2 linked regions of the Bombyx mori genome follow. The protein of the gene in region 1 purifies or fractionates together with the protein of each later gene. This does not show direct contact. Links are inferred from orthologs where the notes say so. Each region holds a gene or a part of one and is shown in the gene's direction. Other genes may lie near its edges. The genes, in order: gamma-tubulin complex component 2 and gamma-tubulin complex component 3 homolog.

What was found.
Region 2: the proteins of gamma-tubulin complex component 2 (region 1) and gamma-tubulin complex component 3 homolog fractionate together in Drosophila melanogaster (co-fractionation; 3 studies listed by BioGRID). This does not show direct contact. The link is inferred for Bombyx mori from reciprocal best matches to the Drosophila melanogaster genes Grip84 and Grip91.

The regions. Positions count from the first base shown.
Region 1 is NC_085119.1:10,557,190-10,561,023, forward strand, and holds part of gamma-tubulin complex component 2, read left to right. Parts: intron 1-735; coding exon 736-864; intron 865-2,400; coding exon 2,401-2,574; intron 2,575-3,404; coding exon 3,405-3,582; intron 3,583-3,834.
Region 2 is NC_085121.1:10,749,414-10,753,247, reverse strand, and holds part of gamma-tubulin complex component 3 homolog, read left to right. Parts: intron 1-770; coding exon 771-960; intron 961-2,567; coding exon 2,568-2,707; intron 2,708-3,655; coding exon 3,656-3,834.

The DNA.
Region 1 (3,834 bases):
ACTGTTGTTGTTCACAACTTGTATACATGCAATTTTATCCTGAAAATGTTGTAAGCCAAATTCAGAAATCCGTCAAATATCTTGTGTTCTATGACAGCTACCACTACAAAGTCATTATTTTTAAAGTTATACTGGTCTTAAGGATGTCACCTAGTGTTCTTGTCAATAGTGGAACAATTGTAAAAGTTGAAATATTGAATTGTAACAGGCGCATAATTCTTGCGTACAAATGCACTTAACATAAATTTCAATTATTAAATTAAAAAAGGATATTTTTGGATTACCCTCGTAGAGAGATCAGCATGCGGCCCACCTGATGGTTAGTGGTTAACGTCGCCCATGCAATTCAGTAATACCAGGAGAGAGCCAAGCTGCCTACCGTTAAATACTCTCCACAAGCCTCGTTTGAATTACGATGCTAGAATAATTTTATGTAATTCAAAGCAAACCCGAAACAAGTAATTACTTCTATTATTACTTGTGAGACAGCCCATTGTGGGCTTGCACACTTAAGTTCCACTATCTTACTATGTCTACCACGGACCAGTCACACATTCTGGTTTTAAGTATGAAACAGCCATTATGCAGTAAAATAAGATATTTATGACCTTAAGCTTCAATCTTTCATGTTGTTATGCAATGGACTCTGATAAAAATTAACTTTTAACAAAGTTTGTTGTGATAATTATAAAATAGTAGTTTGGTATAGAAATAAAATAACGAACTTAATTACAGACTATGATCGCGCAACTGGAGACGGAACATATGACGGGAAGTTTGTCATTACAGAAATTATGGTATTTTGTGCTACCCACAATGCACACTATGCAAGTTCTTGCCGCTATAGTTACGAAAATTGGAAAAGTAAGTACGACTGTAATATGAATTTGATTCATCGTTTGCATTTTTGTGATCATGGTGTTTATTTATCAACGATATTTTTCTATTTCATAGTCGACTAGCGACCCGCCCTCGCTTCGCTTCGGAAACTGTAATTTATTATTGATTTCTCCACTATTTAATGGATGGTATTATACATATAAACCTTCCTCTTCTATCTCTCTATCTTTTAAAAAAAACCGCATTAAAATCCGTTGCGTAGTTTTAAAGATTTAAGCATACATATGGATATAGGGACAGAGAAAGCGACTTTGTTTTATACTATCTAGTGATAAAGTACGAACAGATTTAAACGCTATTTTCGCCATAACTAGACAAAAGCTAATTGCCAGAAAAGACAAAAATTGCATAACGGAAATTAAAAAATTTCCATGAAAGCGTAAATAAGTATAATTCAAATCATAACTGCGAATAGTGAAAGTCCAATCCTTTTTTTTTCCGTAATCTTTGATAGCCTAAGAGGCTATCCAACTACGCGCCGACGAGTAAGTGAGCTCACAGGCTCAACTAGAGAGAATTACCAACATCAGCCCTAGCAGGAGCAGTGCTACGCTGAATCTACTGTCAGAGCGGAATCGTGTCTTACTGAGAAGATCCGGCGAAAAACTTGGTGGAATAATGCAACATTTACATTAACTCTGGTATTGCAGAGGTTCGGGGGTGCTAGAAACCCCTTTCTATTAAATAGTCCGCATACAGTCTCGACTGTAAAGGGAAAACAGTATTTGATATCTTATTTATAAAAATGAATTTTTGTTCCTCATAGATGCAATCGCGCATTTTTGTGAAATTTTCTCGAAACTTGCTACAATTGTTGTTTTCCACTTTAAGAAAAAACAAATTATCACTAAGATTGATTTTAACAAATACATATTTATCACATTTAGTGATGGTAAAAGATTCCGCGAAGAACTGCTCTTGCTAGGGTTAGTGTTAGCGAATTCTCTCAGGTTGAGCCCACCTACTGAGGTGAGCTCCCCTACCCGTCTGGGCGTAGCTGAAATTGAATATCAACGAATAGGTAGAGGAAGAGATGGTGAAAGTAGATAATGGTTTAGTAAATGAAAAAACTTCTACCAAATATTAAAGGTGCTAGGTTTTATTAGAAAATAAATCATCTATCATAAATCATATATATAAATCTACAGTGGTTTTTACGGATGTTCCGTTATAACTACTAAACCATGCATCCGATTGACTTGAAACTTGGTATCTATGTAGAAAATACATGTACTTAATGGATAGGCTAATATTTATATGAGTGATGAACTCCTTACACCAATTGCGGGGGCGTTAATGATGAGAATCTTTGTGAGGGTGAGAAATAATAATGTTAATTTTAACTGCCCAAAGGACGGGCACAGCTAGTATTATATAAATTCATTGTTTGATATTTGTTTTAATTAAATTATGAATGTGAGAGAAAAATAAGAATATTTTTTTTTTTTAAATCCATTTAAATCTCACAAGTACCTATGAATTTCTACTTAATATCCACAGAGTGAGCTCCGTGGTGGAGCAGTTCTGACAGTACTGCATGACAAAACCAACACATTAATGGGCGACGCACGTGCACAGGAGATATCATTGTTCTTAACAGAACGCGCTTGCCGGCCCTACCTCAACGTCCTGGATCAGTGGATACATAAAGGAACCATTGTCGATCCATTTCAGGTACATACATTTACTAGATTTATTTATGTTCATTTAAGAAAAGAATTATCTGGCTCTTCTGTAATTTCCTTTGCTGTAAGTGACAGATTTATTATCAAAAATAAATATTTTAAAATAAAAATAAATAGTAGCTAAATAGTTACTAGGGGTAGGGCATACTGTGAGCAGCACATCATCACTATTCTGTTGGTTGTTTTGTTGTTCTGTTGATTGTCTTGTTGTCCTGTTGATTGGTTAGTCGTTATATACCATTGAGTCTGTGACCTGTCTCAAGATAAGCAACCGCATTCAGAAGAAGTCAGAAGTCGTCGTAGCCTAAAGGATAAGACGTTCGGTGCATTCGTATCTAGCGATGCAACGGTGTTCGAATCCCGCAGGCGGGTACCAATTTAATTCTACTGAAATACGTACTTAACAAATGTTCATGATTGATTTTCACGGTGAAGAAAGACATCGTGTAATAAAAATCAAACTCGCCAGATTATAATTTATGTAATTACTGTTGGTAACACGTCTTGAGAGTCCGAACGGGTAGGTACCACCATTCTGCCTGTTTCTGCCGTGAGGCAGTAATGCGTTTCGATTTGAAGAGTGGGTCAGCCGTTGTAACTATACTGCGACCTTAGAACTCATATCTCAAGGTGGGTGGCGGCATATTCGTTGTAAATGTCTATGGGCTCCAGTAACCACTTAACACCAGGTGGGCTCGGAGCTCGTCCACCCATCTAAGCATTAAATAAAAAATATAAAAAAATCATATTGTGATGGACAAACCCAACAATAGCAAAAGAAAAAAAAACTAACAAAAGAATTACAATTAATTTTACCAGGAGTTTATGATAGAAGATAACGAGCTAATTAATAAAGAAGAGCTGCCTGTAGATTATTCTGCTGATTATTGGGAGAAGAGATATTGTATACAAAGCGACAGAGTACCGAAATTTCTCGATAAGTTCACTGACATTATTCTTCGAACTGGAAAATATTTGAACGTTATCAGTCAGTGTGGTAAGTTTTAAATTTTGATAAAAAAAGGTTAAATGCTTTTATTTGATCATGTGACAGATAACCTTTGATAATGTTACACCTGAGATATCAATCTTTAATTAAATCCCAATTTATAGATAATGAAGTTCAATGACATCAAAGACAAAATAAGGTCAGCTATCTATTATTTCAGCTTATCACAATTGGTTCTACTATTTTATAGATATCTATGCGATCGTCATAAGATGAAATTTCAATAAATAATTAAACTAA
Region 2 (3,834 bases), on another chromosome or scaffold:
ACGACTTCAGACCTGCTTGCGTCGTTTCTGTCACGAACCTGTCACGCGTGACAGGTTACGGGAAGGTGACGGGATAGTCGTTACCCAATAACATCAAGCCCTCGATCTCATTAGATAAATTTTATTTCATTACATTTAATTTCACATAATAATATGAGTTGTTTTTCAAGTGAAACGTAAGTAGGTATTTGTTCAGGATGATGGTAAAATTTTAATTCGGGTTAAAGATATTCTTTATTCTCAAAAGAATTACATAAATTCACTTAAATGAGAACATTAAAATAGTTATAATTAATTCAGATCGTGCAGTACATGACAATAATTTATAGTAACAACATGCAACATTAATTGGAAATATCTACCGTCAAAATTTTACTCGTATCTAACAATGTAATAAATAGAGATTAGTATAGTATAAATTGCAAAATAATAATAGATTTTAGTGATATACCAAAATCAAGCTCTATTTCTATGTTGTTCGATGGAGTGATAAAAAATGCAACTACATAATAATATTATAACGGCATTGTTATTTGCATTACTTGTAGATTATTGCTTATAAACCTATAAAACTGTGTACGCTACAGATGTTTGTTTCTTAATTACTATATATAGCAATATACCAATCATATTTGTTTCAACCAATCGTAATCACAAAGCCTAAGCTCAAATATCGTATAGATATAAATTATTTAATGCCAAATTGAATGCCATTGGAAGTGCAGAACATAATAAAAGCAGTAGTACTGAGCGGGTCCACGTGCGTGCAGAGGGTGCGGGCGCGTGGTGGGAGGCGGCCGGGCTGGGCGGCGCCGTGCGGGGCGCGCACGACGCGGCGGCACGGCGCCTGGTGGCGGCGCTGTGCTCGCGACACCACCTACTCGATCATCTCGCGGCACATCGACGCTACCTGCTGCTCGCGCAAGGGGACTTCGTGCATCATCTCATGACGCTGTTGCAGTAAGACACACTCTTACCCCTTGGCCACAGCCGAGAGCGGTGCGAATTGCGGTGCGTCGTGAGGCGCGGCAAGCGGGAGCGGCGAAAACAAATAGTAGACAACCTATGAAGTATGCCACAGCTACTGGCGGTGCGTTTTGCGGTGCGTTGCGAGGCGCGGTGAGAGGCGCGTGACATCTGGCGGCGACGAGCTGCACGATGTGCGAGTGAAACAAATGTACTAGACAATATCGAGGCGGCCACAGTTCAGAGCGGCGCGCGCGGCGGTGTCGGTGGACGCATTGAGGCATCGCGCGACCGAAACAAATCATTTTGTTTTTACCGCGCGTTGAGCTAATAAAATGTAATGGATGTGGAACAATTCATTAGTGAAATACTGAGTAGACCAGAAATATGGATGACAAAACATTCACATCATAAATATAGGCATGTTATAAAAAAAATGTGGCACGAAATAAAATAATTTTCTGGTACTAATGGTTTTATAGATACTCTTGGATAGGATTATTGAAATAAAATTTGAAATTTGAATTGATTTCGTATTCTAGATGCTTGAACCGTTGCTCGATTATTCCGTCTTGATCTGCGTACGCTATTGTGAATATTGGAGTCTCCAAACTGGGAAACAAACTGCTGAAAATCTGCATCTCTGTGTCCATCTCTTTCTCTTAAGGCACGAAACCTTTATAATCAATGTCGCGTGCTTTTTGTTTGCCTTTACACTTTTCGTAAAAATACGAAACTTATTAGTTAGAATACCAAACGCGTACTGAATTGTGACACTTGCCCGGAATAATGTTTTGTCGAAAATTATTTATTCCGCATTTAAACCACCCGGTGGATATGGGCGCATCAAATAATTTTTAAGAGGATAGGCTTCATCACCAATTAACACGTATGGTAATTTGAGATTTGAACCTGGTAATCTCTGTGAAGGTTGAATCTATTAATAATCTATTTATCGGGATAGTTCTTATATTCCTAATATTCCTAATATAATACCTAGTAAATAGGGTGAAATTCGCCAAGTTCTCTCTTTTTCTAACTGGGTGCGCTCCTATTCTTGATTGAATAATATCTTCAGCTAAGAACGCACTTATTTCAACTTTTGAAAGGTAAATTTGATAGGGATTTCTAAATACGTGCACGTCTGACGCCGCCGCCGTCGCAACTAGTCTAGCTGTGGCATACCCCCGAAATAGCGCCGCTCGCCGCGCCTCGCAACGCACCGCAAAACGCACCGCCAGTAGCTGTGGCCAGGCCCTTACAATTCAGAGCTGTTATTCAGTTATAGTCAGACAATTTAACTGTTTTTTAATTTTTAAATAAACTTACTACTAATTGAATAAGAACTGTCTGATGAACTCATCTTTGTTTAATACTTCAGTATTAACTTTTATTGCTTTTTGTTTATTTCACTTTTACACTAAACACAATATTGCAAATTACCCGAGCACAACAATGGCGGAAAATTTTAGGTGCGTGAGAGCAGACGGAGACACTAACGCGCATGCGCACTTGTCAGTAGTACCCAGGGAGGAAAACCGAACTTTCGGCGTAGGTAGGTGAAAAAATATGTTGTTCCTAACCCAAGTTTATTTTCGTAGGGAAGAACTGAACAAGCCCGCCACGTCCCTATACGTACACAACCTGACGTGTACGTTGGAGGCGGCCGTGCGTGCTACCAACGCGCAGTACGAGCCGTCTCACGTGCTCGCTAGATTGCACGTTAATTTGTATCCCAACTGTAAGTACATATTAAGTCCACATGCAATTTCAAAGTTTAAGAAAGTTTTCACAAAAGTCGTTAATGATTCTTTAAAGGTCATTTATATTATGTTTAATTTATTCGATGCTAATTTTAGTGGGGGCCAGAGAGCTCATAGTTTGAAATAGGAGAATGTGTTTTGCGGCCCCATGGGTCATAGCTTATCATGCGTTCCGGTTTGAAACCGAATTTAGTCGACAATACCTTATCTTTATTTCCTTGCCTATTCCCTGGTAGCCTAAGAGGGAATAGCCTGTACGCTATGCCCGGATGGGTAAGTGAGCTCACGGGCTCAACCTGAGAGAATTTGCTAAACTAGCCCTAGCAAGAGCAGTGGTTCCCTTCGAATCTACCACCGACCCATTGAGAAGCTCCGACGAGAAACTCTATAGGCTGATCTCTACTAATATATAAATCTACAGCGGTTTTATGGATGTTCCGTTATAACTACTGAACCATGCATCCGATTGACTTGAAACTTGGTATCCATGTAGAAAATACATGTACTTAATGGATAGGGGAATATTTATATGAGTGTTGGACTCTGCAACGGTTGCGGGGACGTTAATGACGAGAATCTTTGTGGGAGTGAGAAATGATAATATTAATTTTAAATGCCCAACGAAGCGGACGGATATAGCTAGTACCTTTACTAGTGATAGGACCTCTTATGAGTCCGCGCGGGTAGGTACCACCGCCCTGCCTATTTCTGCCGTGAAGCAGTAATGCGTTTCGGTATGAAGGGTAGGGCAGCCGCTGTAACTATACTGAGATCTTAGAACTTATATCTCAAGGTGGGTGGCGCATTTACGTTGTAGATGTCTATGGGCTCGAGTAACCACTTAACACCAGGTGGGCTGTGAGTTCGTCCGCCCAACTAAGCAATAAAAAAAAATTTGCTGGTTGAGTCGTTACGTACATGGGCAGGCGACGGGCGCGAGGACAGCGGCTGGGACGTGTTCGCGCTGCAGTACCGCGTGGACGGGCCGCTGGGCACGCTGTTCCCGGCCACGTGCGCCGCGCGCTACCGGGCCCTGTTCACGCAGCTCTGGCGCGTCAAGCGCATCGAGTACAGTCTGCACGACGCCTGGCGCGAACACACCATA